Struthio camelus: one gene and its partner. The protein of the gene in region 1 binds, or shares a complex with, the protein of each later gene. Links are inferred from orthologs where the notes say so. Each region holds a gene or a part of one and is shown on either strand. Other genes may lie near its edges.

Region 1 (3,744 bases):
TGCAAATATTTTAAATAGGTAGTAGGTACGTAGCTATTCACCGGAATGGATTATATTTTGTTCTTGTTATTGGATTAGTTTCATTAAAATCCTCATTTTTGCTAGGCCTGTTTTAATATTGATTCGGATGTCTAGCCTTCAATGAAAACATTTGGAAACTTAAGCTGATCAGAGTATGCTCATCCCCAAAAGATAAGCATAAAGATGAAAAAGATGAAATAGGAAGCTTCTTTTTGAAAGTAAGCTAGTATCCACTTGTATATAAATAAGCAAATAATTTTGAAAATATCTGTATTCTTATAATACTAATGGATAAATATTTCAGTATAGAAACTATTTTTTTTAAATGTGTAGAATTTAATTTAGATTTTCTCCTTTCTGTCCTGGTTAAAAACACAACACGTAAATAGCCTGCTTGTTCATTTTTTCCCTAGGGTACCACAGAGGGTACTTGTGAGAAGCAGTGAAAAGTTCCTAAGTGGAACTTGCCCAAGTTCAGTAAAACCCACTTCTGATTAGCTTTGGTTGTGATGGTGCTGAATCAAATCCAGACAGGACTCTCACAGAACCACAACCTGCACTCCCCAGTGCCTGATGTTCCTGAGGGCTCATGAGCTCAGGCACCAGTGCTGAGAAGTCCTGACATCCATTTAACCCTATGCCAAAGCACTAAGCCATTTCAGCATCCAGAGCTCAGGAGGAAAGAGTGCAAACTGACCAGCAGGCTGTTTACAGAAACAACTCAGACCCATCGGACTTTTCAATTTGGCCATCATACACAGAAAGAAAGTGGTTAAAAGTCTTCCAGCATGACCTGAAGCAGCGGTAGCCACTATGGTGTAGCGCTATGCCTAAGCTTACACAGTCTGCCAGAGCCACCTTAGCTGTCTATCTACAACACAGAAATGTCATCCACTAATACATGAGAACTGAGTGTACCTAATTTAGAACACATTAAGGCTTGACAACAACGAAGTTAACTGCTAAGCAAGATAAAATTTATCTTAAGAAAAAAAAACTAGCAAAAGAGAATGATTGCTTACTGGCTCTATGGGAATACTGCTGATTGTCTTGCTACGTCAACACAAAACTAACTACATGCCTTTTGGGACACCATACATATGATATAGAAGAGAGTCCTGTTGTTTTCTGCACTCATCTTTGTACATATAATAATACTGCTGCTATACCTTCTTAAAAATGTATAGTGTTATTCAAGCTCTCATACATTTTCAAATAGCTAATGTCTAAAGGCTGTGGGTTTTTTCTACTCTTCAACTACATTACCAGTCTTTATTTAACATATAATCCTATTAACGTGAAAACACAAAAAAACATTTAAATAGGTCAATGTCTATGTCCCGAGTTTGTTTAAACACCCATAAGTGGAAAAAAACATGAGATGAAAGGAATCTGATACTGAACAAATGGTAGACTACAGCAACTACCAAAAGAGTCAAGACTTAAATTTCAGTATCAAATGCACAGGAATCTGTTAGCATGAAGTTGCTGTCCTAAAGCTAGATATGGCACACTTCAAACACTTGTCTAATTGGACATGCCGAGGAAACTTTGTTGGCACTTCCATCCAGCAGAACTGGATGTTACCACAGGCCAGCCCTGACATCCAGGCTACTGCCCTAGGTGCTAGGGCTGGAAGGTCATCTGACAGCAGCTTAGGGGAGCACGAGGCAGGGAAGATCATGTCGTGACCACATCAGGATCTCTGTCCGTCCAATGGGCCTGAGAGATCCGGGGACAGGCAGCGGAGCCACGGGGGTCCTGCACTGTGCTCCTGGGACACAAGGAGGAGGGCGGAGACCGAGCGGGCAGGCACGGGCGAGCGGGGAGGGAAGTGACAGCGAAGCCTTCGTTTGCCGAGCCTCCCCCCGCCACCCAGGCGCCGGGCCGGCCTGTCACTGCCCCCGTCCTGCACCGGCCACAGCCAGGGGCGCGGGGCCCAGCCGGGGCCGGCACGGCGAGAGGCTGCCTGCCGCCCCCCGCCCGGCGCTGCGGTCGGGTCCGCCGAGGGCCGCACGGCTCCACGGGCGGGCCAGGCCCGGGGCCGAGGAGCGGCCCCGTCTCCAACAGGAAGTCCCTTCGCCCGCCCCTCCTCCGCTCAGGCGGCTACGGGGCCTGCGCGCCGGGGCCGCTGGCTCCCATGGCGGGTCGCGGCGCGGCTGGCCGCGGGCACGGCCGTTACTGGCCGTTATGGCTCCCCCGCGGCGGGGGCGGGGGCGGGGGTGGGGGGGCGCTGGGAGGGAGGGAGGGAGGGCGCGCGCGCGCGCTCGGCCCCCGCCCCTCCCGCGGGGGAGCGCGGCGCGTGCGGCGGCGGCGCGCGAGCCTCGAGCCCGCGCGGTGAAGTGCTGGGGGGGGGGGGGGGGGGAGAGAAGAGGAGCAGGAGGAGCCCATGCTGCCCCCCCCGGGGGGGGGGGAACGGAGTTGAGGAGAGGGTGACCCGGTACCTTGGGGTCGATGTCTCCCACCGCGAAGAACTTGACATCTTTGAACATCTCCTCGGGGACTTTCAGCTCCTCCTCGTCCGCCGACATGGTCCCGGCCGAGGCCGCCGTCACGCGCGCCCCCCCCTTCGCCCCCTCCCCAATATCCCCCGCGCGCACTGTGCAGAGCCGCCGGGGCCCGGGTCTCCCGTCCCCTCCCCCCGCCGAGCCGCCGAACCGCGCGAGCAAGGCGCGCGCTGCGGGACACACCATCCCCCGCCGGGACGCAGGGGGGGCCGAGGGGGGAGGGGAGAGCCGCCGGGACAAAGCGGCTCCCCCCGCCCGATCAGCCACCCCGGCTGTTGCAGGACTAGGCCCGCTCCTCTTCCACGGACGCTATCTCCGCTCTTGCCCCGCTTTCCGAACCGCACCAGAAGCCAGCCTCCGGGCCCGCGGCTCCCCCCCCGTACGGAACGCAATGGACTCGCCCCGAACGACAGAGGCGGGCAGCGGGGATTCCCGGACCCGCCCATTAGCAAACAGGCGAGGGAGGGGGGGAAGAGGAGAAGGGAGCGCTCCGCCCTCGAGCCCCGCCCCCAAGCGCAGGCCCCGCCTCCCCCGCCGCGCCCCTGGGGACCGTTACCCGCCCGCCGCCCCGCCCCCCCCTCCCCCCCCCCCGCCGCCCCTCGCCGCCCTCAGGGCGCTCGGGCGGGAAGCGGCCGCGGGCGGCGGCGGCGCTGGGGGGCGGCCCGCTCCCCCCGTCACACGGCGGCCTGAAACTCCTTCCCGCCCCGGCGACGCCTGCCTGGCACCTGGCAGCACAGCGCCCCGGGCCCTGCGCTAGGCCTTGCGTGGCTCAGGAGGGCCCCGCTGAGGCTGGAGCGCGCTCCCCGTTTCCAAAACCCTGGTGACAGCCAAAAAGCACTTGTGCGACTCCCGTTTTCTTCATGATACCAGGCTTTCGTCTCTGTTCTTCAGGGGAAATCAAGCAACCGCCCGTGACTAACCCCACTGCAAGCTGTGACAACGTTTCTGTACTGCACGTGTCCTACTACGTTCTGCGCTTTATTCTGATTTCAAACCATTCCTTCAGTCGGTCGAGAACCTTCCAAAATTCAGTCCTGTCCCAAAATGTTGTTACCTCTCCCCGCTGGCAGCCCTCTGCAAATTTAATAGGCGTACTAGGTATTCCGGCATCCTACTCATTAATGAAAGTACTGATTACTACCAAAATCAGACGTTCTCCCTTAGAAGCCTGCTCAAAACATCTTCTACCATGATACTAAACCACTGAAACCTAAAG
Region 2 (2,969 bases), on another chromosome or scaffold:
TCTGTGAAGGTCGTTTCAATTATTGTTGTCATTAGAAAGTCAAAAAATTTGGGAAATGTTCTCCTATAGCATTTAGGAATAAGGAACTGAATACAGATTATAATCAAAGACTAAGCTGTGACAGCACTAAAGAAAATAATGTACGTTCAGTAGTTATAGAACTTGCATAATCCTTTGAATACTATTTGGGCCTGTTCACTCATCAGAAAGACTGCCACGAGGGAGCTGAATAAGGCTCCTAATACAGGGGATCTTCATAGTAAAGTTCCAGGGACACTATGTTCATCATAGGTCTCAGGTAAAGAATTAAGTTTGAAGTATCAGACCTAAATTTGCCATCAGCCAGTAATTAATTATGATGGGAAGTAAGTGGGTGGCTCGTTTATCCCTGGATAGTTATAATCTGAGACAGTCATTGGTATACGATAGCTAATCAACTTTGAGCTAAACTTGAAGAGGGAAAAACAGGGGTTGTTTATGCCTTTTTCTATAACTGTTGGCTCTTTCCTTGTACTACAGTTCAGAGTTGACATGTCCAGTTCCATTTGCAGACTCTCTCTCCAGAGCTCCTGCGTTACAGTGCCTTGTAGGAACACGGACATGGCATCTTACTGGGGTATCGTTTTGGAAATGAAGCATTGTTTATTCTCGAGGCAGCGTCCACTGAACGTAACAGCCAATAAATACAGTTAACTTAAAGGACCCAAAGGACTTTGGGGAGCAGCGCTTGTATTTACAGTACTTTTGATCGCAGTGGAGCGGGGTGGCGTAGGAGTTTCAGTGTAGGAGTTTCACTCCGTTATTGCCGGGGCCCCCAGCCAGCCTGGCTCTCCCCCCCCCCCCCCAGCCCCCCGCGTGGAGGCCGGGGCACCCAGGCCCGCCCCCCGCGGCTGCAGGCGGAGGAAGTACGTGGGGCGAGCGCAGGAAGCCCCCCGGCGGCCGGAAGGGCGGCGCGGCGCGGACCATGGCGCCGCCTCCGGGCGCGGCGGCGGGCCGCGGTGGCGCCCCTTCCCCCCCCCCCCCCCCCCCCCCGCGGATCGCAGCTCTCTCGCTGAGCAATGTGGGTGGCCCTGAAAAGGGCCTTTGTGTGGTGTCGGTGGGGCTCGGCCGCCCGCCCTAGTACTCCTGCGACTGCTGCCCGCCGCCCTTCTTGCCGGCCTTGGCGGGGCCCGCGCCGCCGCCGCCCGTCTTCTTGGGCAGCAGCACGGCCTGGATGTTGGGCAGCACGCCGCCCTGCGCGATGGTGACGCCGCCCAGCAGCTTGTTGAGCTCCTCGTCGTTGCGCACCGCCAGCTGCAGGTGGCGGGGGATGATGCGCGTCTTCTTGTTGTCGCGGGCCGCGTTGCCCGCCAGCTCCAGGATCTCGGCCGTCAGGTACTCCAGCACGGCCGCCAGGTACACGGGCGCGCCGGCCCCCACCCGCTCCGCGTAGTGCCCGCGCCGCAGCAGCCGGTGCACGCGCCCCACGGGGAACTGCAGCCCGGCCCGCGACGAGCGAGACTTGGCCTTAGCCCGGGCCTTACCGCCGCTCTTGCCACGGCCAGACATGGCGCCTCGCTACGCTGTCGCCTCGCACCCTCCGCGCAGCAGCTGCGTCGCGAAACGGGGCGGCGGGCCCCTCACCCAGCCTCTTTATAGCCTCTGGCAAAGGAGGGCCAAGCTCATTGGACAGCGTCGCCGCGCCTCGCCGTTGGTGCGTCGCCTGGAAGAACCTTTGTGCTGACTGGTCGGTTTTGCCATCTGACCGCGCTCGCCTCGAGTCCATTGGCGACTGCGACAGGCCAATAAGGAGGCAGGGCGCCAAATTCATACCGTGCGGGGCGGTTGGGGCGCGCCGCTGGGGGAGGGGTGCGGCGCGCTGTGGTAGGGAGCGGAGCGGCGCGGCGGCGGCGGCGGCGGCGGCGGCCCCGGCCCGGCGGTGCGGCTCTCGCTGTCTGCCGCGGGGCTGCCGTTTCCCCCGGCGGGGGGCAGCTCCTGCCGCGAGAGCTCCTCGGCCGCGCCGACTGTATCGCAGAGAGCCGCTTGCGCCTCTGGACAGCCCTGAGGCAGCAAAAGCATTTACACACGAGTGACAGTACCCCTGAGAGGAGAAACATCAGGTTTATTTTGGTCAGCTCTGACTGTGGCACGTTGCCTGCAGGTAACAGTTCTAGATCAGTGCCAGATAACAAGCTTTAACTGTGTTGCCTGCTAGGTTATGTAAGGGCTAGTCACAGTACCCCAAAGGGCTAGAGGAACGACAACAGGTGGGGGACCCCAGTGACCCCATCAGCATGGTGCTGCCCTAGCTAGGCTGCTCCTGGGACCCTCCAGGGAGGTGGTTGGCCTCAGGGCCTGGGCCCCCTCTGGCAGGGGCACCTCCGGGGTGAGCTGGGCGCTCCCAAGATGCCCGCAGACTGAGGGTCCCTGCCTGCAGGGGTATGGGGCTCACAGTGGGGTACCATGAAAGACCATTGGGGGAACGTGCAAAGCTTACTGTGTGATCCTTTCAGGGGATTGTGGGAATGCGTGAGACTTATTACGAGTTGTTTAGCGGAAGATCCGGGAAGGGAGGCGTTACAGGGGATTGGGAGATAGGAGCACGAGAAAATACAAGGTAGGAAGTGGGGAATGCTGTGCGTACGTATGTTGCTGGTTGGTAGGTTTGGTAGACCGTGGTCTGTCCTGTCCTCTTAGTAAAGCATTTCTCGCTTTTTTTGCGGTGAAGGGACGCTCTATTCTGTGTGCACGTGTATGCATGGAGGTCTAAGTGCCAGCACCTGGAGTTGGACCACCGTCCAAAGAGGCCCATGAGTCTGTGGTACCAGCAACTGGGGGGGACTGGAGTATGTGCAGGTTGTAGGTGAGTGGCTATGTCAGATTGTGTAATTGCTAGCGGACATCAAGTCGCACTAGCCAGCAAGCAATATGCTTCAGAGCCAGGTATCCAGGATCAGATACTACAGGGACCAGGGTCGGCCAGTTACCTA

The links.
Region 2: the proteins of PAXIP1 (region 1) and H2AX are in contact, whole or in part, in a crystal structure (PDB 3SQD), measured with the Homo sapiens proteins. The link is inferred for Struthio camelus from reciprocal best matches to the Homo sapiens genes PAXIP1 and H2AX. Residues at the interface, in NP_031375.3 of Homo sapiens: Phe871, Thr872, Gly873, Phe874, Pro876, Lys907, Thr909, Arg910, Thr911, Val912, Lys913, Pro986, Glu1050, Leu1053; in NP_002096.1 of Homo sapiens: Gln138, Ser140, Gln141, Glu142, Tyr143.

The regions. Positions count from the first base shown.
Region 1 is NC_090943.1:9,730,203-9,733,946, forward strand, and holds the start of PAXIP1 (PAX-interacting protein 1), read right to left. Parts: upstream 2,680-3,744; 5' UTR 2,553-2,679; coding exon 2,466-2,552; intron 1-2,465.
Region 2 is NC_090963.1:94,038-97,006, reverse strand, and holds H2AX (histone H2AX), read right to left. Parts: upstream 1,664-2,969; 5' UTR 1,549-1,663; coding exon 1,117-1,548; 3' UTR 620-1,116; downstream 1-619. UniProt on the Homo sapiens protein: Variant histone H2A which replaces conventional H2A in a subset of nucleosomes. Nucleosomes wrap and compact DNA into chromatin, limiting DNA accessibility to the cellular machineries which require DNA as a template.